4 linked regions of the Lytechinus pictus genome follow. The protein of the gene in region 2 purifies or fractionates together with the protein of the main gene of each other region. This does not show direct contact. Links are inferred from orthologs where the notes say so. Each region holds a gene or a part of one and is shown on either strand. Other genes may lie near its edges. The genes, in order: intraflagellar transport protein 46 homolog, intraflagellar transport protein 88 homolog, intraflagellar transport protein 81 homolog and intraflagellar transport protein 25 homolog.

Evidence for each region.
Region 1: the proteins of intraflagellar transport protein 88 homolog (region 2) and intraflagellar transport protein 46 homolog purify together in Homo sapiens (affinity purification with mass spectrometry; 3 studies listed by BioGRID and IntAct, with this or other methods). This does not show direct contact. The link is inferred for Lytechinus pictus from reciprocal best matches to the Homo sapiens genes IFT88 and IFT46.
Region 3: the proteins of intraflagellar transport protein 88 homolog (region 2) and intraflagellar transport protein 81 homolog fractionate together in Homo sapiens (co-fractionation; 3 studies listed by BioGRID and IntAct, with this or other methods). This does not show direct contact. The link is inferred for Lytechinus pictus from reciprocal best matches to the Homo sapiens genes IFT88 and IFT81.
Region 4: the proteins of intraflagellar transport protein 88 homolog (region 2) and intraflagellar transport protein 25 homolog purify together in Homo sapiens (affinity purification with mass spectrometry; 3 studies listed by BioGRID and IntAct, with this or other methods). This does not show direct contact. The link is inferred for Lytechinus pictus from reciprocal best matches to the Homo sapiens genes IFT88 and IFT25.

What each region holds. Positions count from the first base shown.
Region 1 is NC_087252.1:34,530,344-34,538,850, forward strand, and holds the start of intraflagellar transport protein 46 homolog, read right to left. Parts: upstream 3,419-8,507; coding exon 3,377-3,418; intron 1-3,376. UniProt on the Homo sapiens protein: Forms part of a complex involved in intraflagellar transport (IFT), the bi-directional movement of particles required for the assembly, maintenance and functioning of primary cilia. May play a role in chondrocyte maturation and skeletogenesis.
Region 2 is NC_087248.1:15,232,504-15,240,431, forward strand, and holds the start of intraflagellar transport protein 88 homolog, read right to left. Parts: upstream 3,230-7,928; 5' UTR 3,094-3,229; intron 1-3,093. UniProt on the Homo sapiens protein: Positively regulates primary cilium biogenesis. Also involved in autophagy since it is required for trafficking of ATG16L and the expansion of the autophagic compartment.
Region 3 is NC_087260.1:11,012,483-11,021,120, reverse strand, and holds the start of intraflagellar transport protein 81 homolog, read left to right. Parts: upstream 1-5,527; 5' UTR 5,528-5,606; coding exon 5,607-5,750; intron 5,751-6,908; coding exon 6,909-7,003; intron 7,004-8,142; coding exon 8,143-8,323; intron 8,324-8,638. UniProt on the Homo sapiens protein: Component of the intraflagellar transport (IFT) complex B: together with IFT74, forms a tubulin-binding module that specifically mediates transport of tubulin within the cilium. Binds tubulin via its CH (calponin-homology)-like region.
Region 4 is NC_087255.1:5,607,878-5,615,987, reverse strand, and holds the start of intraflagellar transport protein 25 homolog, read left to right. Parts: upstream 1-4,681; 5' UTR 4,682-4,883; coding exon 4,884-4,975; intron 4,976-7,930; coding exon 7,931-8,037; intron 8,038-8,110. UniProt on the Homo sapiens protein: Component of the IFT complex B required for sonic hedgehog/SHH signaling.

The sequences.
Region 1 (8,507 bases), on a different chromosome or scaffold from region 2:
AAAATACCGACAAGCTGAATTAAGGTTGTGAATTGTATTAGCGCCACCAACGACCTTCCTTTTTATTTCTGTGGAAGAGACATGCGAAGCCACTTTCCAGGCCGAGGTAAGCGATTTCGCTCTTTTTTATGTTCTTTTTATTTTAAAAAAAGATTGAAAATTGAACGCTTTTTACCAGAAAAAGCCCTGGTGAGTAGCGGAATGAGTTTCAGCTAACATTTGCGTTATGAAGTGATGTTAACCGACAACTCAAAAATCCATTGCGTACACTAGTGTACCTACGGGGGAGCAGTCTGCCCCCCCTGACGAGCCACAACCCATGCAAAGGACGTATTCCTGCCCCCCCTGATGAGCTTGAAAGACCTTTTTGCCCCCTGACGAGCTTGAAGACCTTTATTGCCCCCCCCCCTGACGAGCTTGAAGACCTTTTTTTTTGTCAATTTTTTTCTGGTACGAAATCCTTTATTTGTGATTGACTTTTTTATTTTATTTTTTTTCTGGTACGAAATCCTTTGTCTGTGATTGAGGACCTTATTTATTTTTTTTTTTTTGCTTGTCAAATTTTTTGGCGGACGGTTTTGCCCCCCCTGTGGAAAATCCTAGGTACGGCACTGATTGCGTAGACACGTTCGTAGCACTCGCACATATTGCGAGGTTAGTTAGTCCGGGTTATAATTGAGCAAGGTGCCACTTGGAGAAGGAGAAATTTTCATATAATGCTTCTAGACCAGTTTTTTACGCTGAATATGAATATATGAGGTAAACAGGCTGTATCCTGAAAATTAACCCGTGAGGGCGCTTTTTTCAAAATGGCCGCCAAATTTTCATAAAATTTGAATATTCGTACATAGATTTTGACATAAGCATCCAATTGCCATGAAGTTAGTGTCATATGAAAGCCAATTAAATTTCCTTCAATTTGATACTATTTATAGGGGATAAGCAGGTCATTTAACCGAGATTTCAAGTAGAAAACTTCATTTTTTGTATTTTTTCCCAAAAATTGAAAAGTTTGCAAATACATGATTTTACATAATTCTAAGAAAAATGAATTAATTACCTTGAAATGTTCCTGAAAACTGTACTATATTATTATCACATGGATGAAATTTAAACTCTGTATCATTTTTCTAAGCAAATTTATAAGGTATCAAACTTGAATTCTTCAATATCAGAAATGTTGCTTTTTGTATGCATTTCCATAGACTAATACGTATAACATGTATAATACATGTATGTATAATGTATAGTTAAAACTTAAATGCAATTATCTCCGCTAGTTAATGTAGGCTTTTCTCTATCAGCTACATAGAAGAAAGTGTTGGCACATCGAAGCCTAACACATTCTCATGGGGTGGGGGTGTCGAAGTCCCCCCCCCCCCACCCCGTGGCCATATCATGTTGTTGTATTTATTGGAAAATCACTATTTTCTGAAGCACCCATTGAGGCAAAAGGCAATTCTTTTTATACAGTACAACCACTTTAATTACTTTAAAACCACTTGGAGAGGAAAAGAGTAGGCTTTGTTCTCCCAGCTACATCAAAAGAAGTAGAACATCGAAGCCTACCTCTCTCGGTGGGGAGGGGGGGGGTATGGAGGTCACCCCTCCCCCTCTTGCTAATTGCTAATTCATTTGGAAATTCACCATTTTGGACCCAACATTGAGGCAAAAAAAGCGTTTGTGCATTATAATACACCCCATTTTATTGATTTGAAAGAGTAGAGTTCGTTCTACCAGCTACATAAATAAGCGCACTCACATCGAACCCTAGCCCTCTCAGGTGCTGTCAAAGTCACCCCCCCCCCTCCTCTATATCATGTATATTGCCTATTTATTGAAAATTACACCATTTTAAATCACCAATAAGGCAAAAGGGCATTTCTACTATACAGTGCGTATAGAAAAAAACGGGACAGATTTGAAAAGTCTATAAAATGTTTGTTTCAAATTATGATGTCTATATTTTGGTGTTAATAGGTGCTCTAAGGTCTTATCTTTCAAATGCTATTAAAAAAATTTAGTTTCGTTCATGCTTGAGCGAACACGGAATGTTTTTGTCTGGGGTTTAAAAGGAGGCTTGCACCAAAATGGCATAAAATTATAAATATGATGATCGGACTTCTTGCTAATTAGCAGACTTCCTCTTAACCTTTTCACTATCTTTGCCATGATTTTCAAATCATGCGGTCAAAATTCATTTTCAGATCTATTTATTTGCTTGAATTATTCTGTTGTTTCTTTTTAATATGCTCTCTGTTAGCTTTGAATATTCCTTCTTCAAGCTAAAACAATTTTGTTTCAATCGAATTATGGGAGAGCATGGATTTTTTTATTCAAATCCTTTCATTGAGTGCTACAAAGGTTATGGTGCCTTTTGAACAGTGCCACACAGATGGGCGGGCGCTCGGGATGTCCCCCCCCCCCCTCAAAAAAAATCATGACCAAGAAAAAGAGTGGACAGGAAATAAAAGGAAAGATAGAAAGTAAAATGTGTTATTTTCTAAATATTTTGTCAAAATCTATCAAAAAATTTGATATTGTAATAAAAAAGTGGGAATATTTGCGTGCTCACTTCGCTCGCTCACAACTTTTTAATACATTTTACCCGATCTTCCATATCTAGCTCCTTCAAAATTGACTCAATACATACAAGGGATTCATGTCATTGAAAGACATGAATCGCTTCCTGTGTTTACTGTCAAGCAAATAAACTTGGTCAAGGAATTAATGACCCCTTGAAAAAAAGATTCATGTCTTTTAAAGGTACATAACATAGTTTGTTTCACATAATAAAAGGATTTGAATAATCACAAGTTTTCCCAATTAATAATTCAAATCTTCTTGCTTGGGTTGACAAAAAATCTTCTTTTCTCAGTTACTTATGAAGGAAAATTAAAAGGTAAGAGAAGTTTAAATGAAAAAAACAAAATATCAATTAAATGAATAAATTTGTAAATGAAATTTGACAGCATAATTCGAAAATTGTGGCACAGATAATGAAAAGGACAAGAGGAAGTCTCCCGATTAGCAAGAAGTCTGATCATCTGATCATCATATTATTAATATTCTGCAATTCTGGCGCAAGCCTCTTTTTGAACCCCCAACAAAAACGTCCTGCGTTCGCTCAAGCATGAACAAAATTTATCTTTTTTAATTGCATTTCAAAGATAAGACCTTAGCGCATCTATTAACACCAAAATATAGACATCATTATTTGAAACAAAATTTTTATAGACTTTTCAAATCTGTCCCGTTTTTTTATACGCACTGTATGGTACAGCCAATTTTAATTTCTTGCAATGACTTGGATAGGAAAGAGTAGACTTTGCTCTATCAGCTATATATTAACAAGTGCTGGCAAATAAAAGCCTACCCCCTCCGGGATGCAGTTGAAATCACCCCATCCCTTTTGCATTATTGCATATTTATTGAAAAAAAAATCACCGTTTTGAAACCCCCATTGAGGCAAAAAGTCATTTCTGATTAGAACTCTGCCTTTTTTACTACCTTGAAACCACTTGGAGAGGAAACAATCATGGCAATAGGCTTTGCTCTATCATCCACAGACAAAGATTTGCTGGCAAATAAGAGCCTACTCCCTTCAGGGGACTGTCGAAATTACCCCCCCCCCCCTCTTGAAATTCACCATTTTGGAGCCCCCATTGAGGCAAAAAGGCGGTTCTGATATATAGTTCTTCCACCTTTACTGCCTTGAAACCACTTAGGGAGGAAAGAATAGGTTTTGCGTTATCAGCCACATATAAAGAAGATAAAGAAGTGCTGGCAAATAAAAGCCTACCCCCTCCGGGAGGCTGTTGAAATCACCCCATCCCTTTTGAATTATTGCCTATTTATTGAAAAAAATTCACCGTTTTGAAACCCCCATTGAGGCAAAAAGTCATTTATGATTACAACTCTGCCTTTTTTACTACCTTGAAACCACTTGGAGAGGAAACAATCATGGCAATAGGCTTTGCTCTATCAGCTACATACAAATATGTGCTGGCAAATACATGTAAAAGCCTACTCCCTTCAGGGGACTGTCGAAATTACCCCCCCCCCTCTTGAAATTCACCATTTTGGAGCCCCCATTGAGGCAAAAGGGTATTTCTGATATATAGTTCTGCATTTTTTCACCCTTGAAACCACTTGGAGGGAAAAGAATAAAGGCTTTGCTTTAAAAGCTACGTATAAAGCATATCCCCATCAGAGGACTGTTGAAATCACCCCACCCCCTTTTCATTATTGCTTATTTATTGAAAATTCACCATTTTGGTGCCCCCATTGAGACAAAAAGGCGGTTCTGATATATAGTTCTGCCACTATTACCACCTTGAAAGAGTAGACTTTCCTCTATCAGCTATATAAAGAAGTGGCTCTACTATATACCAGAAACACCTTTTTGCCTCAATGGGGGCTCGAAAATTGCGAGTTTTTCAATGAATTGGCAAAAATCGTAAAAAAGGTGGGGTTACAGCTACATGTATAGTCCCTGAAGTGGGTCAGGCGTCGATACGGCAGCAATTCGACATATATAGCTAAAAGAGGAGAACCTACTCTTTGCTCTCCAAATGGTTTCAAGAAAATGAAATCGGTTTTTTTTATACAGCAGAAGTGCATACTACCTCAATGGGGGCTCAAAATTGTGAATTTTCAAATAATTAGGCAATAATGCAAAAGGGGTGGAATGGTTTGACAGCCGCCCAGATGGGTAAGCTTCAATGTGCCAACACTTCTTTATATGTAGCTGATAGAGCAAAGCATATTCTGTCCACCTACTCTTTCAAGGCAGTAAAAGTGGCAGAACTACATACATGTATCAGAGATTCTTTTTTACCTCAATGGGGGCTCAAAAATTGTGAATTTTCCAATAAATAGGCAATAATGCAAAGGGGAGAGGGGGTGACTTTGACAGCCCCCAGAAGGGGGTAAGCTTTTATTTGCCAACACATCTCTATAGCTGATAGAGCAAAGCCTATTCATTCCTCTCTAAGCGGTTTAAAGGCAATAAAAGTGGCAGAACTATATATCAGAGACGCCTTTTTGCTTTAATGGGGGCTCAACAATAGTGAATTTTCAACAAGTAGCCAAATACCGAAAATTAGTGAGGTAACTTTTACAGCCTGAAGGAGATAGGCTTCGATTTGCCAACACTTCTTTATATGGAGCTAATAAGGCAAAGCCTACTCTTTCCTCTCCAAGTCATTGCAAGTAAATAGAATTTGCTGTACTCTATAGTAGAAACGCCCTTTTGCTTTAATAGGTGATCCAAAATTGTGAATGTCTAATAGATAGTCAAATACCGAAAATTGGTAAGGTAAATTCTACAGCCCGCTGAACATTCTGAAGGGGAGAGGCTTCGATTTGCCAACACTTCTTTATAGCTGATAGAGCAAAGTCTATTATAATACTCTTTCTTCTCCAAGTCATTGCAAGAAAATAAAATTGGCTGTACTATATAGTAGAAACGCGCTTTTGCCTCAATGGGTGATCCAAAATGGTGAAATATCCAATAAAATAGGCAATATACATGATATAGAGGGCGGGGGGAGGGGGTTGACTTAGACAGCCCCTGAGAGGGCTAGGGTTCGACGTGCCAGCGCTTATATATATGTAGCTGATAAACTCTACCTTATTCTACTCTTTCCTCTCTAAGTGGTTTCAAATCAATAAAACGGGGTGTACAACAAAGCACAAACGCTTTTTGGCCTGAATGTTGGGTCCAAAATTGTAAATTTTCAAATAAATTGGCAATATTAAGCAAAAGTTCCCCCCCCCCCCCCCCACCCCGAGAGGGGTAGGCTTCGATGTGCTACTTCTTTAGATGTATAGCTGGTAGAACAAGCCTATTCTTTCCTCTCCAAGTGGTTTCAAAGCAATCAAAGTGGCTGTACTGTATAGCAGAAATGCCTGTTTTTGCCTCCATGGGTGCTCAAAAAATATGTAATTTTTTTAACAAATAGGCAATATACAACAACATGATATAGCAAAGGGGTGACTTCGACACCCCCACCCCCATGAGAGGGTCAGGCCTTGATGTGCCAACATTTTTTTTTATGTAGCTGATACAGAAAAGCCTACTCTTAATTCTCCACGTGGTACAAGCGGAGATAATTGCATTTAATTTTTAACTACCGGTAAACATTATACATACATGCATTATACATGTTATACGTATTAGTCTATGGAAATGCATACAAAAAGCAACATTTATGATATTGCAGAATTCAAGTTTGATACCTTACAAATTTGCTTAGAAAAATGATACAAAGTTGAAATTTCATCCACGTGATAATAATATATTTTAAAAGTCTTCAGGAACATTTCAAGGTAATTGATTCATTTTTCTTAGAATTATGTAAAATCATGTATTTGCAAAATTTTCAATTTTTGGGAAAAAATACAAAAAATGCAGTTTTCTACTTAAAATCTCGGCTAAATGACCTACTTATCCCCTATAAATAGTACCAAATTGTAGGAAATTTAATTGGCTTTCATATGACACTAACTTCATGGCAATTGGATGCTTATGTAAAAATCTATGTACGAATATTCAAATTTTATGAAAATCTGGCGGCCATTTTGAAAAAAGCGCCCTCACAGGTTAATTTTCAGGATACAGCCTGTTTACCTCATATATTCATATTCAGCGTAAAAAACTGGTCTAGAAGCATTATATGAAAATTTCTCCTTCTCCAAGTGGCACCTTGCTCAATTATAACCCGGACTAAGTATAGTATACTAACCTCGCAATACGTGCGAGTGCGTTAGTCCTACAACATCGTTGGAGTAAACTAAACTTAACAGACTGTTTCATTCAAAGTAGACCAAAAGCTTTGGTCTCTGTTAGTGTTATGTTGGTTGTTCCACTGAACTCCGTCTCCGGCGTTGGCTCCAGCCTCCTAGAGATGATCGCTACTTGACGAATCTCAGCCTCCGCAACCGCTTTCACAGTGCACGCCGCCTCAACAATGACTTCGCTGCAGCAACTGGAGTGATTGTTTCCACTCAAACAATCCGTAACCGACTTCACAGAGCCAAAATGCATGCCAGACGGCCAGCTCAGTGTGTCCCACTCACCCCTGCTCACAGAAGAATTCGTCTCAACTGGGCCCGGGAGCATGTCAGATGGACCAGACAGCAATGGCGTAGAGTTCTGTTCACAGATGAGAGCAGATTTTCCCTTGACCACAATGATGGACGTTCGAGAGTCTGGAGGCGACCAGGAGAGAGATTTGCAGACCCCTGTATTGCAGAACATGACCGTTATGGTGGAGGCATCGTCTTGGTGTGGGGAGGCATCACCTACGCCCGGGGGGGCCACTTACATTGACGAGTGGATACCATGCGCGACCAAGAAAACACGTAAAAAGGGTGTCTTTTTCAAGATAGGGCACGTTACGTACGTAACGTGATAAGGGTGTCAAAAACACAAAAATAATGAAAAAAGGGTATCTATTTCGCTAGGAAAGCTACGTGTTTAGGGTCACATTTGCGGGGATGATAAAACAAAATTAAAATGTTGTATAAAGGATGTCCTTTTTGCACCAACACTACGTGTTTAGAGTCCTGATTTGCGCGAGGTGAGGAAGGTGGGACCTTACTAAACCAAATGGTGTGTAAATTAGGTAAAACCGACGACCGACGGACCCGGCCGTGACACAACAATAAAATATACTTGTTAAGGGGTTCATTTCAGGGACTCAATACTTGCCAAGAGTATAGTTTTGTTTCCAATACTTGTTAAGGGTAGGGTTTCAGACGCCAATACTTGTTAAGGGGTGCATTTTCAGAACATGGAAAATACGTGTTTAGGGTGCTTTTCGAGACCCCATGGTCGCGCATGGTATCCACTCGTCAATGGAAGTGGCCCCCCCGGGCACCTACGCCAACCGTACTCGTCTCTACGTGGTCCCAGGGGGAGCAATGACAGGAGTGAGGTACAGGGATGAGGTCCTTGAACCTATAGTGGTGCCATTTGCAGAAAATGTGGGACAAAACATCATTTTCATGGATGACAATGCCCGTGCCCACCGAGCTAGGGTGGTGACCGAGTTCCTTGAGGGCCAGGGGATTGAGCGTATGGAGTGGCCAGCGAGGTCCCCAGATTTAAACCCGATAGAGCACGTCTGGGACATGATGGGGAGGAGTCTCGAGCAGCTCGAAGCCCATCCACTTGGACTGCAGCAGCTGGGTGTGGCTCTGGAGGCTGCATGGGATGCACTGGACGTCAGAGACATCAATCGCCTCATCAGCTCCATGAGACAGCGCTGTGAAGCCGTTATTGCTGCAGGAGGTGGTCACACTCGTTACTGAACTGCCTGAAAGACACTCAGACATTCGTTTTTACCACTTCATGTCGGTAGCTGATACCCCTCGGGGCCCACTTTTCAGGATGTGCAGTGATGCGAGAGACATTGTGCAACAACTGAAACCACCCATGCGTGAAATTGATTACAGCGTGTTTAAGGACATTTAGGACAGTTGTACTGAGGTATTTCCAG
Region 2 (7,928 bases):
GAAAACTTAATTTCTAATGTTCAAGCAAAGAAAATCAATATCAAGTCATGTTTACCCTGTGCACAAACCTACCACAGGGCAATTACCCCCGAAATAGGGTTAGGTTAGGTGTAGATTTTTGGATAGGGGTACAGTGTAGTTGTCCGGGGGGGGGGGGGTAATTGTCCAGGGGGGTGGGGGGAGGGGAATTGTCCGAGGGTGAGGGGGTGAGGGGTTATCGTCCAGGGGTAGTTGCCCTTGAACCAAAGAAATCATATGCCAATATGTCAAATCAATCTGAGTACTTTAAGGACGTTCCACAGTTAAAGTGAAATCCATGTCATTTTCACCAAACTTTGCACATAGATACTTTAGAACCTGAATAATCGAAATATGCATAAATTAACATGGGTCCATGTGCTTGATTTTTTGCTATAGAGCTTTAAAGGTTCATTCAAATGGATGTTCTCAAGAATTGCGCATTCAAAAGAATTTGGCATTTTTAGACCTCACGAGATGCACTACAGTGTGTTTAAACCTGTATTACTCAGTCAAAATCCATGAAAATTTCATCAAATTTCGCAAGAGAGTTAATAATTGTATCTTTAAGATTGGGAATCTATTTATAGTGCTATTTTTTTACTGTTTTAAGTCTAACAGCACTATCAGTTCTTAAAAAATAGCGTAAAAGATAACAAAAACCTAATATCAAAAATGTAAAGTTTCAATAACAAACTAGAAAGTGCAATAAATGCTGCACTTTATTAAAAATCCATGTCATTTTAACCAAACTTTGCAAAGTTGTAGAGGAAGGTATACTTAAGAGGTGCAAACAATGAAAAATAGGTGTTCATGTGCTTGTTTTCAAACTATCAGCACTTTTATTAGAGCAAATGTGCTTTTTAAAACACAAAAAACGCGCCAAATGCTTTGTATCCATCTGAAGAAAAATTAAAAACCACTCGTCCATTTATTCAAACTCGGGGTCATATTCATCATTCTTTGCAGCACTGCAGAGTAAAGTATTATGAAATTGTAGAGATACTTTTTAAAAATGCAATTTTTTTAGCTTCATAAAATAACGCATTGTGTTTGCAGCTAGATCAGATAAGGAGAAATATTAGCTCATACCTACAGCTAATTAATCACATGTTCATCCATTGTGACGTCAGCGCGCAGAGTGTAAAATATGCGCAGATCATAATGCGCACAAACATAACTGTGGAACGTCCTTAAGATTTAAATAAAAAGCTTGTACAATTCCCCATAAGCTATGTATTATAAATGTGCCATGCCCAAAACAAAGAGAATAATTAAGATTTCGCAATCTTTTGTCCACAAAAAGGCCTGTTTTTTCATCACAAAGATGACAATGACTCGACTTCTAGATATCGGAATTTGAAAATTCAAACAGTTTTGTGAATCGTAGATATTGAGCCTCATTGTGAGCCCATCAAATATGCTGGAACATCCTTTCGCTTTCCTAATTTTCACCTGAAGTGCCTAACTGTAGTGTAGCCTGTAGGCCTAGGCCTAGACCAAAAGCTTCGGTCTCTGTTATGTTGGTTGTTCAGCTGAACTCCGTTGGCTTCACTCACCAAATACAGAGACCGAAGTTTTAGCGCGATCTGTACAGGGGACTCAATGGCCATATGTTTATGTGTATTAAGTTCGGATAAAACAGGGCAGTGAAGTTGCGCGACAGCCGAGGTAAGTCACTGTTTTTGTTCCTTTTAACTTAATTTTCCCTGTTTTTTGGCAATTAATGCCAAGAGGGAATATTAATTTGCATTTCGGTCGCGTTAATTTTCAAAAGTTTGATTCATTAAAGACAAAAATTGAAGAGCCCCAACGGGGGGATTTTGTATTGTAAGTCCCCTAATGGTGGCTGCACGATAGCGAGCCGTCTGTGTATGAGGAGAAATTTAAAAAATAAAAAAAGGTTAAAAAACTCCTCGAAACAGACGGCTGCCAGCTGTCTAGCCTAGGCCCTACTATCTTTTTGAATTTTTGAAAAGTGCCCAAGCCAAGGCAATATTAGACAGCTGGCAGCCGTCTGTTTCGAGGAGTTTTTTAACTTTTTTTATTTTTTTTTATTTCTCCTCGTACACAGACGGCTCGCTAGCGTGCAGCCACCATTAGGGGACTTGCAATGCAAAATCCCCCCGTCGGGGCTCTTCAATTTTTGTTTTTAATGAATAAAAATTTTGAAAATTAACGCGACCAAAATGCAAATTAATATTCCCTCTTGGCATTAATTGCCAAAAAACTGAGAAAAATCAAGTTAAAAGGAAAAAAAACAGTGACTTACCTCGGCTGTCGCGCAAATTCACTTCCCCGTTTTATCCGATCTTAAGTACATAAACATATGGCCATTGGGTCCCCTGTACAGATCGCGCTAGAACTTCGGTCTCTGTATTTGGTGAGTGAAGCCAACGGAGTTCAGCTGAACAACCAACAACATAACAGAGACCGAAGCTTTTGGTCTAAGGCAATACCGGTATATGCCTGGCAATGCAAAATTATGGTCACCCCACGTCCACAGAGAGAGCAGAGTCAGACTCAGTCTCAGACGAGTCAGACTGTGACCAGTCACAAAGTAAAAAAAAAAGACAAAAAGCCCAAGCCCCAAGCCAAAGAAAGCCTGAATTTGGCCAAAAAAAAGGTGAATTTTGGGCCTGGCTTGGGGGTAAAAAAAAGAAGCATTATTTCATTTGGCAGACATGATGATGACAGAAAAATGTGATGGCAGACATGATGGTGCAGATACAGATGACGCATGCAATACGTCTAACGTTAAGCAATGGCCAAAGAAAATTAGAAATAGTAACGTTATTATTCTTTCAAAGCGACAGACGCGGCCGCGGCTCGCGACACGAAACGCCACCGAGCAAGCGACCGCGAGGGCGCCGGATGCCTCGGGTCAACTGTCTTCAACAATCCGCTGGCGATCAGCGTCACCGGTGGGCATGGAAACACGAAATGTGTGAAGTTTGTTAACCCATTTATCTAGGCCTACGCGCATTTTTATTTATATGACTTAAACATAACATATATCAAAGTCGGAATAGTTCAATTAATAACATATAAAACTTGAAAAGTGACCCAACATACCAATAAGTAAATTTCGAGAGTAGCGCTCGATATTTTCGTTGAAGGAATTTTTACCCAAGATGCTTTGCGTTTTGACGTTGACGGAGCAAAGACCCGAGATAACAAGACATCTCACTTCAGTATATTCAATATCACTGAGTCGTAATCCTTCGTGTCCATGATGATGTTTTATATCTTTTCCGGATGACCGGATCTAAATTAAAAAAAAATATATATAAAATAAAAAAGTAAAAAGAAGTAAAAGAGTTGTTTAAAATTTACACAACGCTGGTTATTTACTGTATGAACCTTACAGTAGTTGTTTAACTGAAACTTTAACAACTTAAACAATAAACTTTGTTAAAGATACATGTTTTTTTTTTTTAAGTTGATTTGAATCAATATGCAGTGGTGGACCGTGACCCGGAGGAGACAAAGCATTGGAGGGGCACAGCATTGTTCACAAACAATACAGTGCCCCTCCAATGCTTTGTCTCCTCCGGGTCACGGTCCGCCACTGTCAATATGGATATATAGTTAAACAAACACAATGCTGAAAATCGTATCAAAATCGGATATAAAATAAGAAAGCTATGACAATTAAAGTTTCACTTACCCAGAAGGAAAAACCAGTTCCCGCACTGGACCAGTTAGACCAGTATAATTTTAACTGGTAACTCTGGAAATTGGAACATCGGTTTACTGGTCTAACTGGTCATACTGGTCCAGTTAAAATTTTACTGGTCCAGTTAAAAATTAACTGGTCTTGAACTACTGGAATGTTATACTGGTCTTGTTTCTGGTGGCTGTTACTGGTCTCACTGGTCTTCATACTGGTTTCCAATTTCAGCTGGTCTTTACTGGTATTTTTTTACTGGTCTGACTGGTCCTCGAACTGGTCGAACTGGTCATCATACTGGTCTTACTGGATCAATTTATTACATGCATTTGGTTTGTTATATACCATGGTCAGTGAAATGTGATGGAAAAAATGGTTAGTAAATTAATCTTTCTGCTGTTATTTCAAATGTGACGTATGAAATTACACATTTTCATTGTGAATTAGTTTACACACTTATTTAGACAGTTTTTAAACAACAATGAGTGCCATTGCAAGGATATTCCATTCTAAATCCTGATTTTTCTTTAAAAAACAGGAAATATGCAAATGAGGTAAACCACGTGATCAGCATCATCAGAATTACTGGTCTTGACCAGTTCAATTTCAAACAATGAATTACTTTAGACCAGTTGACTCTATCAGAGGAATATATCTTGATTTATCTTAATCATTTAAAAAAGGAAATAATTATTTTAATGATAATGTTCATACTTGATAATTATGATAATATTAATAATAATAATTACAAAATCAATAACAATGATAAAAGTAATAAGAATGATAACAACAATGATCATAATAATCATAATAATTATATTAATTATAAAAAGAATGATGATAACAATGATAAATGATAACGGTAATAACTTTCTCTGAATTGCAAGATTCATTTTCCATAATTCGTCGTATGATCTGACTTGAAATAAAGTCATTATTTATTGGACCAGTACAACACCAGTTTGATGAAAAACAATTTAACTGGTATTACTACTTTGTTTGAACTGGTCTCCAGTTGATTTTTACTGGTCCAGTTAAAAATCAACTGGTCCAGTAAATACATACTGGAAACCAGTAAAAATCTACTGGAAACCATTTATTGGACCAGTATATAGCATCAGTTTGATGAAAAACAATTTAACTGGTATTACTAATTGCTTCAACTGGAATGCAGTTGTTGGAACTGGTCTCCAGTTGATTTTTACTGGTCCAGTTAAAAATCAACTGGCCCAGTAAAAATATACTGGAAACCAGTAAAAATCTACTGGAAACCAGTAAAAAAAAAAATACTGGTCTTACTGGTTTTTCCTTCTGGGTATTTTCACAAAACAGTTACACTATGCAAAAAAATTATGTAGGGATTGTCATGCAGGCATCATGCAGTCCCATGATGTGCAATTGTGCATGACAATCACTATTTTTTTGTATTTTATTGTAATGAAATATGAAATATTTGAATATCATCCTTTTGTCACTACGTGTAACAAAGTTTCATTCGAGTCATAACATTTTGTGGTTCAGTCAAGTTGGTAACTAGTCAAATTTGTTTAAAAAAAAAGAAAACAAAGAAATGAAACATCGTAAATAATTCAAACAAGACAAACAAACGAAATAGTGAGTGCAGAGGACATCATCAACTGTCTCATTTTATATCACTGTACATAGTGTACTGTTCAATGTGAAAATAAGTGATATTCAAACAATTAAATAATGCGAGCGTGAAGCGCGAGCTAAAAAATTGACATTCCGACCCCCCCCCCCCCCAAAAAAAAAAAAAAAAAATTATCACGAGCGCGAAGCGTGAGCGGAAAAATTGACTTTTCAGACCTAAAAACGAGACACTCTATTCATATTTTGTAAATCATGAAAACGATGGGTAATAGGTATTCTGATCTGAAACTGGATAATTTAAAAACGTTTCGACTGATGAACAAGCTGCGTCTGATCTCAATAAACATGCATGCGCGTTTTTTTTAAGATTTAGACCTATATAGAATCTGGTGGGTGAGTCATAAAGTTGTCAGCACTGACTAAATTTTCAGTGCTGATAATTTCAGTGAATCCTTGGTTTTGATTGGCTGAAAGCCTGAAAGGCACTGGCCTCTGACTGCTACTATGGTAATTGTCGAAGAAAGACAACTTGTCAGTGCTGACAACTTTCATGAAACGGTCCCCAGGGCATTCTGAATACATCATTTCATTCATTGATTTCCGTTTCACAATGTTGTAAATAATATAATAAACATAACATAACAAGACTTAATATCATATATAACATGCATAATTAGGTCTATATAAAATATACAGACAAATTTTTGTATTTTAGAGTAAAACGGAGAGGCTTGCCGAAAAAACAACTATGAAAGCCCCTAAACTTACAAAAAAATGATAATAGTTGTAATAATTATTTATATGTACACTTGGCAAAACAATCATCAAATGAAAAAAGCATAAAAATAAAATCATGACAAACAATAATGAGAGCGCGAAGCGCGATCGAGCTGAAAGTATTTCATATTCCAATCTGAAAAAGGGTAAATTCAAGCAATATTGGGACTATTTCAAGCAGTGCACTATGTATGAAAATTGTGAAGTGGGTGTGGATTTCACTTAGCGCGAGTTTTTATTATTTTTATCATATTTTTATTAATATTTTGACCTATATAGGACCGGGACATTATATGGACATTCTGACATCATATGAAAATGATCACCATCTTCATATTCATCTTCCCGGCGAAAACCTTTCATTTGAAAACACTATACCCCAGATTCCCTCAATCAATTCTCTTCTCCAAGTACGACAAACCATAACTGCCCCAAGCAAGCAATTTAAGTATCAAAACACCTGTTTCTGGTCCGAAGATAACACAACAGCCCGAGCAAAGCCAAAGCATGCCGTCATTTTAATTCACTTACTTTCCTTATTTCGAGGTCGATTTTCTTCGTTCGAACTTGAAAATGGACTAACATTGGATTTCTGAATACAATATGCATTTGAAAACGTGATTAAATATCGAATACAATAATTTCATTCCGAAGGTCCTACTACAGGCAGAGAAGTCTTACGTAATAGCACAGCTGTTGTTTATCATTTCGTCCTTGGCTCAACGCTCATAATCTGGCCTGTGGAGACAGCGGGGATTACCTGGCCTAGCGGGATTGATCAGGCGGGTGTTTCATAAAGCTGTTCGTAAATAAAAAGCGACTGGTGATCCTGTCTTGCGGTAAATGGTACACACCATTGGCGAAAATCTAGCGCGCGAGAAAGGATCACCAGTCGTTCTTAAAGTCGCTCTTAACTTACGAGCAGCTTTATGAAACGGCCCCCTGGGCTTGGAAATGATTTTGGGATTTACAAACGCAAAATGGGGTATAGAACCGCAGTTTGCAATCTGAACTGCGGTCTTTCTCCAAACGGGGGTTTGACGTAACGGCTAAGCGCGAGGTGAACTTATCAATATTCCATTCTAATATAAAAATAAGGGGGAAAATTTAGTTATTAGGAATTCATAAAAATGTTATTATCTTATTTATTAATCTATAATAAGCCTATATAATGAGAGCGTGAAATTTGTTAATTTTAAGGCCTGAAAACTGGACATTTTAAGTACTTTTGTAATCATGGATAGGATGCATGGGTTGGCTGTTGGCACGCTGTCCTGCCGAGTTCATACGGGAGTTACCTGTCCATAAACATAAACATTTAGCAAATAATATATAGTGACATGAAAGATTTTTTTTATTTTCCAGGCAAGCCTTTCTCTCACCTTATTTTATTCATTCGTCTCCCTCCTTTTACTCTGTTCTCTCTTTTTTCTTCCTTATTTCTCTTTCTTTCCCCGTTTTTGTCCTTTTTTTTTGCTCCGCCAATATAGAGCTCTGTAATAAACTGTGTTTACTGTGAGCAAGCTTATAATTCAAAGTTCGAGCTCTAATTCTTACAATTGAATATTGACAGTCATTATTTTTATCTGATTCACTTTTCATCAACCCTTTAGTTTTGTATAAATTCGGTCTCCAAATAAAGCGAGTGGAATCTTTATTTCGCATATAAAGTGACCTAGTGATCGATAGGTTTGCTTTTTGCCAATTTATACATTCTCTCCATATTATCTGATTCATTTTCATCGACCCTTAATTTTGCTTAATTTTCTTTGGTTTCGTTTTCTGCATTCATTTTAGTTCTCTTCTCCCCATGTTAATTCCTTTTCTTTCTTTTTTTTGCGCCGCCGAA
Region 3 (8,638 bases), on a different chromosome or scaffold from region 2:
TAGCATGGGTCAAAGAAAGAAGCATTAATGGTTCAAGATTATGGGATTCACAGAATTTAATGCATATGTAGAGTAAATACATGATTATAGTGTAGTAACATATTGATAATGGCAGTTAAAAGGAGGGTAATCCTTGTGACTTGGCCTTATAAAAATTTTGGCTCGCGACTTGCACTCGCATAAACGGTTAAAAATATTACCTGATACATCATATTCATAATTACAAAAGTGCTTGAAATTTCCAGTTTTCATACCATGTTATCATCAGATTTCGCGTCTCATTAGGCATTTATAGATCAGATATTAATTGTAATGGTTAAATTGTCCTTTCTGTTTCATCTCGCGCTTAGCAAGAGGAATAGGAAGATATCCATCACTTTCATGTCCCGGTCCTTTGTCAAATCCATCAGCTCTTTATTAAGTGCGATCCAAATCCACCTCACAAAGTACTTGAGCTGAAATTGACCCCTTTTTCAGATCAGAATGTCAAATATTTTAAGGTCGCGCTTCGCGCTCGCTTTGATTTTCAATTTCATGTTAATATATATATTCAGAATTCCTAGATTGTAGGCCTAAATTGGAAACACGCGAGCGCATGTCTATCTAGATACTCAACTTGTTAGTATTTCAATCATTATCCAGTTTCTGAAAAACAAAATTCTGCTAGCGCTTTGTGCTCGCATTTTTTATGTAGGAAGAACCCCTATTACTCATCCTTATTATACAAAACATGAATAGAGTGTCCCATTTTTTAAGGTCTAAATCTCGATTTTTTCCCGCTCGCGCTTCGCGCTCGCATTAATTGTTTTATAGCGACGATCCTGTTCATGGTCACAATAATTGATTAAAATTTTCCATTCTTTATGTAGAAGTGTAAAAAAAAATCGGCTCGCGCTTGCATTATTTTATTGTTGAAATATGTAACGTCTCCATGGCTAAGTGAAATAAGCAGTCCTTAACAGGTACCTTTTTGATCAGTTCAAAACGTATACAAAAATTATGCTCGCGCTTTGTGCGAGCATTATTAAAGTAACAAAGATCGGCAATTTGGACATCCTTTCCATGATGATTTAAAAGACATGACTAGACATGTCTCGTTTTTAGGTCTAAATCTTCCAATTTTGTGCTCGCGCTTCGCATCAATTGCCAAGTTATATATACCTATCCTGTTTAAGTTACAAAAAGTGCCTATGATTTCAATTCTGTTCGCACTTCGCGTTCTTAGTAATTATTTAGTTGCATACACATCTTTTTCATGATAAACATTGCCCAGAAATTTCAAACTTTGGGGAAAAACATAATTTTTTTTAATAAATTAGCTCGCATTATATAAAAAGGTTATGATATCATATATTTATGTTGATTATAAGACAAAAGCTAAGAAGTGACAATTTCTTCATAGAAACAAATATAAATCATATTCGCGCGGCCGATTGGGGAAAAATAATGGTGAAAAAAAATTTGCCCCCCCCCCCCCTTTGGCTGGATCCACCCCTTCATCCTATTTATTTCTCTCCTTCCGTCCATCTCTCCATTCTTCCAGGAGCCGCGGAATGGTTTTGAAAAATGTTTTTTTTTATATTTCTACCAATAAAATTATTAATGAAAATAATGCGGTACAAAAATCAATGTCGTTCTTCTTCCTGTTTTAAACTATATATACGTGTACAAAAAACGCACCACCAGCTAAAAATAAAAAAAAAAAACCTGGGGGTCACAACCCGAGCACCCCACTTCCCAGGGCCATATACAAGGATTCTAATTTATTAATTTTAAAGAAAGCATGAGACATCATTTGTTGAAAAAAAAATTAAAGAGACCTATTAATGACTGCATGTGGTCCTACCGGTACGCTAGATCTGCGCACAAAACTGCTTTCATATGACACGCAAAAGGGATGAATCTTAGTGGAAAAGTGGAATAAAGCAAACAGGATTTAGAAACTGCCTTCGTTGGCGTTCAATAATATGGGTGGTATGATACAAATTCTGCTAGCTTATTCGTACTATTATTTCTGGCCATTGTACTTAGATCAAAATTTTAATGTGGAAACATTTTTATTTTTTTTTTTAATGATACAAATCGAGCGAGGCAAGGACAATGATATGGGGCAGAGTTCCAAGTCTTCATGCCCCAGACTGAATATATTTTGACATCAACTTACTCTAAAAACAAGTGTTTATGTTTTATTTTGTATTATTCATTTTTTAAATATAAGGTAAAATTATAAGTCTCGGAGTGTCAGTTAATGCTGCAAAAGATGTATAAGGCCTACTCTTTTGCAGCACTATCCAGCTACCGCGGCGAGGACGCCCTCCGAGAAGGTAGCCATATCAAAACTAAAAACAAAAAATTCCCCTTAGATTACTGGTGGATCCAAGGGGCATAATTATCGAGAGCCAAAATTGTAATTTGTAATATAAGCATGCCCTTTTTACCCAAGCATGCCCCCTTGAAAGTGAGGATATATATATATATATGCCCTATTTTTTTGCTTGTCAATTTTTAGGGACGAAATGACTTTCAATTTTTGGTAAAAAAATATTTTGTAATGCTCATCAAATTCGCATCGGGAAAATGTGCCCTCCATAGGCCCTGTCCCCCCTAAATTTGAGGTGGGGACCATTGGCAGCGGAAATCAAAAATTTAGGGAGGGGGACCACCAAAATTTTGTGACAAGCCCCCTCCCCAAAAAAAGTTTATCAACCCAAATTTTAGGGGAGACCACATGAATTTTTTAGGGGGGTCCACTGGAATTTAGGGGGCACGCAGGAAAAAAAATTGAACGGCAAAAAAAAAGGTTATCAACAAAAAAATTAGGGGGGGGGGACGATCGTCCCCCCACCTCAAATTTAGGGGGGGGGGCACGACCCCCCCCCCCCGCTGCCTATGGGGGATGTTGTTAGCTTTTTTGGGGGCTAAATTTTTTTTTCGGCCCCCCCCCCCTTTGATAACCTTTTTTTGTCAAAAATTTTGGTGCCCCCCTAAATTTTTTGACTGCCGCCGCTAAAAGTGCCCCCCCCCCCTTTGGAAATCCTGGACCCTCCCTTAATTGCCTAGATATAGATGTTTAAATAATTAATTATTTTGAAAGTCAGAGTGCCCTCGCCCCCCCCCCCATGCTTTAGTTATCATGGCATAAAACTTATGTCATATCTAATCCTTATATCAGCAAGAGGTCAGAGCATACTATCCGTCACCAAACGACTGCATTTGAGCCATTAATTTTCCCTTTTCTCTTCTTTCTATTATTTTCTTGTTATTTAATCACTGTTTATTTGTATAAGCTCGGATCTGAGACTAACTGATACGGTGAACGCACTTTCGTTCGAGTTGTGTATTTGCGTAATAATAGACCGAGGCGAGAAAGGACACGCCCACAATCCCTCGTTCAGTGCCGAGCTCTGTGCGTACGTGTCGACCAAATTTCAAAGAGAAAATTTGTACACAAATCTGTCACAATTCGGACCTAATTTCGCCTCAGATTAACAGATATTTAGATCTCTTTGGAACACTAAAAGTCATTCACTTGGGGTTTTTGAATATGCTGATTCAGGTGAGGTACTTTTCAATGCTTTTAAACATAGATTTAAAAAATTAGATTTTCGTTTTGGGATCCCTATTATAGGTGAAGTACGCCATCTTTTGACAAGATGATGAAGAAAGTGGACTGAAGGAGCGAGAAAATAATGCTGATTTCGATGATAATTTTTTCAAAACATGCGGAATGATAATCATCTCATTGCAATGGGATATAATCCATGTCGCACGTCGACATGTTACCCATTTACTGTGTAGCACGAAATGCCAGGCTCCGCACAGGTCACGGCAGCAATTCGGAGGCCGCTGATTATTGGTTCATCGTGCAGATCACGTCACGTTATGATTAGCCAGGAGGCTCCTAGAGAGTAAAAATCATTCACTAACGACAATGTGTGCTTGCTCTCCACGGAGCCAGGGATTGCGTCCCATTCATATGCGTGTAGGCCTACTGTGAAAAAAAAACCTGAAATTTTCGCCCCCGAGATTTCTACTTTCCTTCTAAAAGATCTAGCCCTAAATCATGTAAATGGCATACAACTTCATTTCCGACATTTCTAAAAATTGTTTACTGATTTCATTTTTATTTTTTAAACAACAATTCATAAAAAAATGGTGAAAAATATTTTAAAAAGACGGGGGAAACTTGCCGCGATATTTACGTCGCCATGTTGTTTTCTTTGCTTTTCGCCAAGCTATAAGACGCATATCCTCGATATGGAGCTCGTCACCACTTTTGTGTTTTTAACAATGCAAATAACATAAAATTTTTGTACACATTGATTCTTTACTCAAACATCTCACATTAAATGTGGGATTCCAAGTTCTTTTCCGGGAAAAACAAAGGAACCAAAATTGGCGTACCCTGTCCAATGTGAAAATTAAATTGAAATTGAATATGGGAGAGAGTGTTGATATTAAGAGAGCATGCATGCGCAAGACACAAGGCAATGGTTTTTGTTAATAATATATATGCTGTTGAGATCGTGGAATCCCTGCCTTTCTCATTTTTCAAGCAGCCATAACGTACTTATTTTGTGCCTGAAATCTTTCAAGGGTTCACTGCCCTGTTTTTATTATTTTTCATTTTTCACACAAGTCACTGTGTAGTTCAGATTCCTCAATATATACATGTACACGCTTCATGTTTTGATCTCTGTTGTTGGGAGATTACTGTACAGTGCGTCCACAAAAACGAAACCGAGATCTAGCAATGATTTATCATAACTTTAATCATAAAAAAAATAGACAAATGACCTACCAATGTAAAGCTTAGAATCTCCTCTTTCATCTAAAATAACTTAGATTAATGAGTGAGCAAAAACAATTTGAAGGAAGGATACCAAAAACTCATTTTGCGGGGGTATCAGAATTTCAAAAAGAAAGTCATATGCCTAAATAGTTCAATATCTGCTCTTTTATTTGATACCTTAATCACAGGAAATGGTCAAAAAGTAAAAAAGTTCTGTTCCCTCGAAACAATGCTTGTATTTCCATAATTTCATTAAATAAACATGTTTTCACCGGTTTCCCACAGAAGCTATCGCATGGTTAACAAAAGACTGATGCATGGCTGATTGTCAACAAAACAGAGTGTCGAGTGAGTCTGAACGCTAGCCTGTAAAACCTTTTCATTTTATGAAATTATTGAAATTCAAGTCTTATTTCAAATAACCAGAACTTTGTTATTTCTTGACCATTTTCTGTAAATTGAGGTATCAAATGAAAGAGCAGATATTGAAATTTTAAACAATGTGGTTTTCTTTTTGAAACCCAGATACAGCCCGCCAAGTGACTTTTTGGTATCCCCTCTTCGAATTGTTTTTGCTCACTCATGCATGAATGAGAAAGTTTACATAAGTTTTACAATGGTAGGTCATTTGTCTATTGTACTTGTGATTAAGTTATGATAAATCATTGATAAATCTTGGTTTCGTTTTTTGCGGGACGCACTGTATGTGGAATAATACTTGCACCTTTTTCTGTTTCTTCCCCATTAGGAAAGCATGTGAAGATTCTCTTCTGGCCATTCTCCCGGAACGACAATAACCTTCAAGAGATTCAAGATGAGCACCCAGCTCAAGTATGTGGTTGAGCAGCTCAACAAAGATCCCTTTCGGAGGAACTATAACCTGATCAGTTTTGATGCCTTAGAGCCACTTCAGCTGTTGCAGGTGCTCAATGATGTCTTGTCTGAAATCAACCCTCAGGTAAGATTTCACTGGACTTTTGAGTGCCAGTTCTGTTTGCGACTTTTACAAGTTTACTCGGCTGCAATTCTGCAGTTGAGTAACTAATGCCCGTCTCACACTATGCGATCCGGTGTGACACGATTTTTCAAGAAATCGCATTTTGCATTAAATATGAAAGTTCCAAGAAGTAAAATTATTGTATTTAAAGTTTGGCATATTGTTACGAAAACTAAAATCATATATTTACTTTGCGGCAAGCCCTCTGGTCGGAGTAAAGTCTAAATCGGCTTCAAGTCGCAGCCGATGATGACGTCATTACGATTTGGAATTGAATTTGTTTTTATTCATTCAGGGAGGCTCTAACTGGACTGAATTTTGATTTCAGTTGTCCTACCACTATTCTGAACTCTGATCTGTATTATTTTATTAGTTGGAATTATCCATATCAAATGTTATCACAATTAATTTGAAATTGGGATTGCAACAAATTGCATAGTGTGAGACGGGCATAAGAGTCGCAAGTAGAAAAAACAACATGGTTGCGCCCATGCACGGGGATTATAAGGTTATAGGCCGATAAATTCAAGTAAGAAAATTGGGAAATCTTGCTCAGTATGATTATTTTCCCAGCTCTACTAAAGGTTGGATAGTATTGTGTGAACGTGTCATATTTCTTCATTTTCTTTTCCATAATCATTGTTAACAATCATGTCTTTTGCAAGAACAGCCTGTTACACAGGCCACCATATTGTGCCTGATTTTTCACTGCAAAACACAATCTTACAATCTTGAATGTGGAAGTTGGTTCACAGTTAATTCGCGCGGAGGTCGCTTGCACCCATTGTGGCAAAGAAAGGTGTGCTAATTGTGACCTCAAATCTATGGCAGACATTCTAGAATTTGAATTTGTGATTTGAATGTGAATCTCAATTTGAATTTGAAATGGAAATTGACAAAATATTACTTTTGATATGAATGAATCCCTTTCCATATCCAGCACAAGTTTGATATCAAGGGGAAATACTGCATTACAGAGACAGCAATATAAGCTGAATTTGAATTTTGAAATCAAATAAAAAAATTATTTGATTTGAAATTTGGAATTGGAGTGGACATTCAAAGTGGATTTAACATCGAAATTTATATTGGTATTGAATTGCCCTTTACCCTCTCCAGCACAAGCTTGACATCAGAGAGGAAACACCAGATGCCACAGCAATGAGAATGCTGGCTGAACTCAAAGTCCTCAAATACAAGCCTTCGGTGGAGCCGTAAGTATCAATTTCACCCTTTCCTCAGTGGTATTGTGTAATTCCATTAGAAACCATATACAGTGGTTAAAATGCTGTTATGTCCATGCTGTGCATGTTGGTGCTTTAACTAGGGGTACTCCAGGGCCCCGTCTTCAAAGAGTTGCGATTGATCAGATCAATCGCAACTATGGACGGCCAGCAACGTCAATATCTATTATGCATGTTTGTTCAAAATATTTTCTAGCATAGATGATGTATATTCATGCATTCATTGTTTTCTAGAAAATTCACTGCACTTCTCTTTGCATACAAAGGTCATTGTGCATATTTTTCGTAGAAAAAAATTATGACACTGATGGATTTGTGAGACGGGGCCCAGGTTGAAAATGGTAAGAACTATGATTTGAACAGGTGAAGTAAAATCAGACAAACAACACTGTAAATTTCATCAAAATTGGATGTGGAAAAACAAAGTTGATAACATTTTAAAATTTTGCATTAATTTGGTGAACTATGCCCAGGGAATAATTTTCCTGGTATTGCATCGCAATTTGCTCCACATTTTTGAAAGACTGCTAGATGCATAAAGTCTTTTGTATAGCATATTTTTACATAGGACTGAAAATTACTTTAGTTGAGAGCTTTTGTCTTATGAGCAAAAATTCTATTCAAATTTGTAAAGCAAAATCATTCCCTGATGCCTGTCTTCATGAATATGCAATGAACAAGCTGATGATTTATTGTATTTTATTATTCAAATTTTGTCATCCAAGAATGATCGTCTGCTGATTTAATAAGATAACCATTGCTGCAACTTATTTCGTCACAAGGGAGATATATCACACACACACTTGTATGAGAATATGAAAATACTTATGATTTCATGTAATAACAAAGGAACAAGAGTACATTACATCATCAGCCCACCTATTGCATATTCATAACAGCGTGCATATAACTGTTTTCACAAAATGTTTCTAAACTTTAAAATTTATATTTGTCTTCGGATTTTGTTAAAATCATAAGATTTACTCTATAGATATCATGAACACGGTCAGAATGGACACCAATAGCCACACAACCATTTGTAAAACCCCCCTTAACAATCCATATGATCAATTTGACTAATTTCCCATTTTATTTTATTTTTTTATTAGGGCTACCTTTCGGCAGGGCCTTGTAGCTGGCAACAAGCCTGTGGTCTATTCCATCTTAGAATGGTTATTCCAGAAGATGCCCGAGCTGAAGAAGAGGGCGTATCTAGCCAGGTTTCTTGTAAAGATTGAAGTACCTGGGGAAATTCTGCAGGAGGAGGCTGTTATGGATACATACGCACAGGTGAGGAATGTCACATTTTTTTTAGTCTTTCTGTTTTTGTCTCACCTGCATAGCAGAGTGAGACTATAGGCGCCGCTTTTCCGACGGCGACGGCGGCGGCGGCGTCAACACCAAATCTTAACCTGAGGTTAAGTTTTTGAAATGACAGCATAACTTAGAAAGTATATGGACCTAGTTCATGAAACTTGGCCATAAGGTTAATCAAGAATTACTGAACATCCTGCCTGAGTTTCATGTCACATGACCAAGGTCAAAGGTCATTTAGGGTCAATGAACTTAGACCATGTTGGGGGAATCAACATCAAAATCTTAACC
Region 4 (8,110 bases), on a different chromosome or scaffold from region 2:
GCGTAATTTCGTCTTCTGGAAATAAAAATTTAAATTAAATTTCCATGCTTGATCGCTTTAAATTTATTCCCCTCCCCGTTTACCACAGTGGAAATAATCTGGGCCGCGCCGTGCATTAACACCATGCTGGACCTTTACATGCCAACAGGAACCTTTTTTGAATTTTCAATAATGCAGTGGCGTTATGAATAAACTTAAATTTCAAATTAATCATAAAATTCTTGATGACAAAAAATAAGTTTTCAGCTTCCCCTAGATTAAGTTCTGTATATTTCTTAAACATTGTAGGCCGGAGACCGGGGTGAACTGGGACGCGGGAGAAGTGGGACACCTCCTATATCTAGAAAAGTTTTCAACTAATCAGCTATCTGTTCTTATCCCCTGATAGACATTAGGTATTAGAGTAAAACCACATGGAAGCAACAGCGCAAGAACTCCCCTGCATGGTAAGTGTAATTTTAAATTTTATTTTTTCACACTTTTTTTGTAGTTTTTTGCAGTCAGTGTGAAGTACTTTTTGAATTTATTCTTATAGCTTTAGCAGACACTTAGCATGCTTTATCTAGGCCTTGTTAGTCCTAATAATTTGCATACTAAGTTTTTGCAAAAATGTGCAAATTTGAAAAGTTATCCGCCATTTAGATTTTTTGTGTTTGTTGGGATAAACTGGGACATGACTGTCCCACCTCTCCCTTTACTGTCCCACTTCTCCCAACTGTGTCCCACCTTACCCCATAGTCATACAATATGGTCCTCACACCAATGACATTCATATCACTTTAAATCAATATGGCATAATCATGTCGGTAGTAGTTCTTGAAGCTTGTGTTCATATAATTGTAGGCCTTGTATAAGTATGGCAAATTGATTCAAACACAATCTATTCAGGAACATGTAGTCTATCAATTAAATTAAAGCAGTAGGCCTACACTTTTACATCACCTTCATCAATACTCTGTTAGAGAACCTACTTGTCAAGTCATATGTTGTGGTACTGTCAACAGTTCATCCCATTTTTATACTTTTGCAGATAACATGCCAAGGAACTACAAACGAAAAACTCGCATGGGACTAACGTCCCATGCAGAAATGTTGGAGGCTGTTCAAGCAGTGGTGAGAGATGGGAAATCGATTCGAGATGCTGCCCAAGAAGCAGACGTAAAAAAGTCAACTCTCGGGAGATATGTTGCCAAGTTTCGCGCAAACCAAGATGCAAGACTAGCTCCTAAATATCAGCATTCCTTGGTGATCTCTCCAGAAAAACTAGAATGTTGAAAAAGTTGATCAAGTTTTGCACATATCTCAGTGTGAAGGATATTGCCCAAACTGTTATGGTTTAAGAATTTTTGTTTTACGTTGACAGGATTTTTACTGTAGCATGTGCAGATTAGGAATTTTCAGAAAATAGATGGGGAATATGTACCATATTTCATGAGTAAAAATACTCTACACAAAAGACTTTAAGGTATCGTGAAACAATATGAGCAACATTTGAAACATATCATCTGTTTTTTACGGTTGCAATATATGCTCAGTTTTAGACGGCTATTCCCATCTACACAATTTGTTGTTTCCCATATTGAATTAAGGAAACTTATGTTCGGTGTTTGTTATTTGCTTCCCCCATGCACAGTAGGTCTAATGTTTAGCGTTGACAGATTAGCTCAAAGCTTATGGCGGGATGGGCAAGTTGAATTAGATTTTAATAAATGTTCTAATTGTTGATGATAGAGTTACAGTTATAAAGTCTGACATTTTTTTCCTGAAACTACTTACACTAATTGTATGTGACAACATGTCCCCAGACCAATGAAAGGTATTAGCTTGTGGCCTTGTGCCACATCAGAGAATTATTGTAACTAATACTCTTGAAATATTTTAACTTCGTTTTTGAAAGGTACCCTAATTTTACATTTGAAAGAGCATCCAGTTTCAAAATCGCTTACAACAGTATAGCCTTACTTGTTACAAAATTTGAACTTCTAAAGGTTGATTATGATTTATTTCCCAAAATAATGACACCAAATTGGTGTGAAGTGTGGAAGGGAAGCATTCACCAACATACTTTTGGTGAAAACAAATTGCTTTGCTCAATTTAATGAACACCTGATCCTTCATTGTTAACTTAGACAAATATCTGCATATGAAGAAAGCAACAATCAACAATACCTGAAGGGCTGAAAATGCCAATACAGGGATATGTTGCCAACATTTGCATTTTCAGCCCTTCGGATATACTTTTATATCTTACTTGTAACTTGTACATGTAAGAGGATGTCACACAAATTTAAAGTACAAATATACATGTGTTTTTAAAAACAGCTGAAAAAAAATAAACCACAAATACATCTATTCATCCACAAGTTTTGATACTTATGAAGGAACAAAAAGGATGAACATCCCACAGCACTGTCAAGGAATGCCATAATTTTTATTGTATCAGTTTGAATTACAAATAATGTTGTTTTCAGCATTAAAAGTTAAAACCAGTTTACTTGAGGAGCATTTACATGTGTCTTGATCTAATGCATTATTTTCTCTGAGGTGTGTGCGTTGATCATGATTGATTTTTGATTGAGATTACAATGGCATTCATCAGCAATTAGGATTTTCTCATAAGTAATATGGTTTACATTGACTCTGATATAATAACTGGCTTTGGTGGATGGCTGATTCATGATTACGTCAAAGTAAGGGCATTGAATAACCTGACATTTATCGATAGTTACATTTTCTTTCGATATGTCTAAGATAACATATTAATAAAAGTATTCTGGGGGCATATCCATTTCATATCTGGTAAGTCATAAATACACATAAATACACACACACCCATTCACACTCACAGGCACGCACACATGAAAAGCACATATATATTCATAATATATATACATATATGCGCAATGTGATATTCTCAACCTTATTAGTAGGCCTATTTATTGTTTGTCTCACTTCTCCCTAGCCATCCCACTTTACCCCAGCCGATGTCCCAATTCTCCCAGAGGTGGCCCACTTCTCCCCGTTCAGAAGCTTTTTACTAATCAATGATTACACAAATATGAGACTTGCAGCAATATGAACCAACGTTCCATCATGTGGCCTAGCATCGGTTGTCTTAAGGTACAAAACACAAGTTCCCAATTCTGAATAAAAGAAAAGTTATAAGAGAAAATTCATCAACTTGTATTTTTTGTCCCACTTCACCCCGGTCTCCCCTATTGCTAAAAGTAATGATGGTAAATATAAATATTTTATGTGTAAATCAATTGTAAAAAGTCTATGGCTAGCTTTTTTGCAGTGACTCATGAATATGATACATATTTCACTAATCAAATAATGATTTAGGATGCAGGATGTGTATACCAAAAACAATTCGTGCTATGAGCTGATTACACTGACCTGTCAATGACTGTTTGCAGTGTCTCGTGATAGAAAAATCTCTCTTGACAACTGGCATACAGTGCTAAGCCCATTTCAGATTAAAGTAGGCCTACAAGAAATGTATCTCAAGGGATTTCAATATACAATTGTTACGAGCGCGAAGCGTGAGCTTATTTTTGTTTGCGACCTAAAACCGGGACATTCTAGTCAGCTACTGACGTTCGCATTGCGAAAAAAATATCTTGAAAATTTGCGAATAAAGATGGTGGAACTAAATGCCCTATTATTTCAGTCTAAATTGCGTACTGACAATGTGAAAGCAATTTACGGGAACTTTTAGCCCAGCGTGTCGTTGGGCGCGGGCGCTGTGGGTGGCTGCTGGGCTAGTGGTTTTGAATCTCGCGCCTTGCCTGCTTATTAGACCATACTGCCGCTGCGCGCGCATGCTCCTAACTTTAGGAATTTATCCCGAAGGGTATGTTTCGGGGCGATGTGAATGCAGGAATAATTAATGGGTATTTTTTAGCCTAAAAATGTTCTCGTAATTTAACGGGGATTCTTGTGATCGAGGCGGTTTGAAACCGCCTCTTTTTTCTCAACGGAAAACACGTACGTATATAAGACTCCGCATAACCTGCATCACACACAATGCATTACAAAGATAATGAAAGAAGTCGAGACGTTTGGAAAATATGCTGGGCCAAAAATCAATTGGACTAAATCAAATCTTATGAAAATGAATATAAACAACGGTGAAACTAACAATCTTTTTACTGAAGATCCTATAAAATGTCTTGGCAGACTTGGTGTCCTCCCCAAATAAAACTGAATTTTTTTTTCTATTTCCTTAAAAACGTCTTTTGGGACTATCATCAGGAAAGAAACATAGTTTAATTTTGAAAATGCATACACATTCAAAAGTTTTATTTTACCATAATATTGTAAGATCTCTTGCTTCCACCAACCAATAAGTCTTTTAATTTTACTCAAGATTTCCTTATAGTTCAAAATCATCTTTGACTTTAGAATCCCGTGCGAAATATACCCCTAAGATTTTAATATGTTGTAACCAATGTCCAAAAAGTGGTAAACTAGGTCTATCTCTTTCTTCTCCCAACCACAAAAAAGTTTGTTTTATTAATCTTCAATCCACTTAAATTTTTTTTACTCTATGGATCGAATCCATATCTTTTAGAAACAATGTAATGTCATCTGCATACAGAACTTCTTTTATTTCCCGTTTCCCAAATCCTATCCCTTTACTTTCATCATCTCTCCTGATATAATGAGCTAATAGTTCAATCGCTATGATAAATAAATGTGGAGAGAGTGGATCTCCCTGCCTTACTCCTCTATTAACTTCAAAATATCTCACTTCACTGCACTAAAAGTGAAGTGGAAGAACGCCATCTCGTGCTCAAACACCGTGGTTACGGGTGACGCATATTTTCTGGGATTAAATAAAAACACCTGATAAATTTCGGTAAATCATCACGGTCATCATGTTTGACGTAGCGCTAGCAGAAGCAGGGGCTCAAGTGCCTATTTCAACGTCAAGTGATGAAAATTTTCCTCCCGAGAATATAATTGATGGGTAAGATAGCCCTGATTGGGCTTGCACTATTCATTTTATTCTATACTTAGTCCCAGGTGTCCAATACCGTGTCAGTTTTACCCACTGAACTACAAGTTCAACTAAAAAAAAGAGTATTGCCGGACACCTTTAATTTTTTATTTCAGTGCTTTAAAAATGACAACTAGAGGAAATGCAATGAAGAAAATTTCGCACTTGCTGTGCCAAATATTATGAAAATTATGAATATGATGAAATTATTTAATATTTACCTAGGCCTACCATTTTCTTTGCATCGCACTTGCCGCAGGCCGCATTCGCATAGGCCTACCCCTCCACGGCCACGAAAAACAAATATTTTCGTGCGTGACAAATTACATCATGATTCCAGACGTGCGCCGGGCGGGTTAAGAATATATTCTTTGTTATAATGATGTAAAGAAGAATTGGTGTGATTTTGTTCTTAATATATCATATCATGAGTAAATTTGTTTGCTTTTTTTTATATCGAATCTGAGCAGATGTTGGAAATATAATTTGTGTTGCTAACTAATTTTATGTTTTCTTTTTAACTGCATATTCCAGGGCACTTTCCAATATTATGCTCGTTTGTATATCGTGATGCTCATCAAGTTCTATCGATGCGCTGCCGATCGTCGACTAAAATAAAGCTCTAGTCACGGTAAACCTTGCGCACGGGTACCTTGAGAACTAGCCGTCGACGATCACCCACAATACACCGCACCTCAACATTCGATCAAAGGAGCGGACGAGAAAGAAATTCGGCAAATCAGGCCTTATTTCTGTCAGAAAATATATCAATTGTTATTGCAAAACTATGTTATATGATATTTTAAGCATTTTCTGTCATTTTAGAGATAAATAAGGTAAACTAAAAGTTGGATTTTTTGCCTTGTTTTTGCAATCTTGTTCTATGTATTGCTCTGTGAAATTAAACTGCGGAAGTCTTACGGTACAAAATTGTTTTCGTACGTAGTAATATGCGCGTCCGGAATCATGATACTGTCCGGTAATACAATATGTGACTGTACAATAGTGGTTCTACCAAGTAACGTTTGACCTCTAACGCTACTACATGTTACGTTGGAGGGGTGGACATGGTGGAGGCACAAACAGGATGGGGGGGGGGTAGCCTGGAGGTAATTGGAGAGTAACTAAAACAAGTTGTAGTATATTGCTGTAGACTTATACAAGCTTAAATGGTAATGAATGCAATGCCTAACTGCCTAACATTAGCCCTAGCCTAGGGCCTAGCCACCAGCCTAGCCGCCATTGAATTCAAACAGTGCGCTAGTCGATGTCAACATAATATCAGGTTTCATAACAAGATTATTGCAAGTTGTGAAAAATAGACGGTGAACTGGGGGAAATTGAGGTCACTGAATCTATTTTTAGCACTCTCAAGCCTCGTAATTGCCGTCTCTATGTCCTGCAGTGGTATTAACCTGTCCCCATAAACAAGGATAGTCTCAATTCATCAAGACATGATTTGTCTTGGTTTATGATGATATCCTTATTTTCTGGGACAATCCCAATTTTTGGACCGGCGCCTCAGACTCTGAGGCACCAGTCCAAAAATTGGGATTGGGATGGGTTGAAAAAAATCTGGAAAAGGGGTGGGGGAAAAGAGGGAGAATTGTGACTGTGAGAAAATAAAAGAAAACATATTAAAAACAATTATTTATTACCCGTAGCAGTTGAAATAACAGCCCCCATCTAAAAAATAACTTGGCGCCATCCCTGATAAAATGCATCAGAGTGCAATCAAACGACCCCAAAAAATGTTAAATGTTGATATGTCACGCATTTTCTATCAATGCTGACGGTGGCGGGCGGTGTGCAAAGAAGATCATGCCTACGTAGGACATGTCTGGAGGTGTCTTTCCAAGGACCATTCTTCGTATCGCCCAAATCGGCTTTGTGAAACAGTTGAGTGATATCTCGTTCTACGTAGAACGGTTCTACCAAGACCATTTCCTGAAACAATCCCCAGGATTCCGTTCCAAGCTTGTGCTGTTACAGCAGTGCAGCATTAGAGACCTGGCCATGGGTAATTATTAGCCTTGAGGACTCCGTGATGATAATTATTTTTATATACTTTTTCATCAGGGAGCCTTGAAATGGTTGCCATATATGCATAAGCGAGACTTGTCAACAAGGATGGATTTCCCTAGGAAATCCATAATTAGAGGGTGAAATCAGTTTGTTTCTCTTGATTTTATTCATCTATGAACCTTCATACACCTAATGCGTACATGAAGGGATTAAAAATATTTTAGTATAAATACGAAAAAGGAGAGGTTTCTTACCAGACCGATCTTGTGTAGATCCCTCGATCCATTTGTAAACACCAAAAATACAATAGGCTTCACCCTTGAACCGCTTCGTTATGACGTAGCTTCGATAAGCGATGTTACAAAATGCCGTTTCAAAGAACAATTTATAGATGAAAATTATTATTTAACAAATAATAAAATTTGAAACTTGATTATAAATAACTATTATTAAATAAAATCAAGAGAAACAAACCGATTTCACCCTCTAATTATGGATTTCCTAGGGAAAGCCATCCTTGTTGACAAGTCTCGCTTATGCATATATGGCAACCATTTCAAGGCTCTGTGATGAAAAAGTGTATGTAAAAATATTTAAAAATATCATCATGGCTAGGTAATTATTGTTTTGTTACTGGGGTGCTGAGAATTGTCAGAGTACCCCAGTACAGAGTACCCCAGTAACAAAAGATAATCCTCCATTGCCAGGTAATTGTTGTGCAGAATAGAGCTTTAACACTTGACTTTGATTTGACTTTCAAGTATTCTACCATAGAATGAAAAGTTAATGGTAATTATAGGTTGACATTGCTAGATGTATGGGTAGTCTACTCATGTGTTTTTTACTTTTCAGTGCTATAATGTGAGAGCTTTTTTCCCTGTGTTTTACCTATTTCTCCAGCAAATCAGAGACATTCTGGGCCACCACGGGATTGTTCCCACAGGAGTTCATCATCTCATTTACGTCTTTGATGTCACTGGAACAGATTAAAATCAACTGTTATCAGGGTAGGTTGCATTGCACACTCCCTAGGGCCGTCTGCACCAGCCCGAGTTTTCAAATTAGCGTGCTATTTCTGAT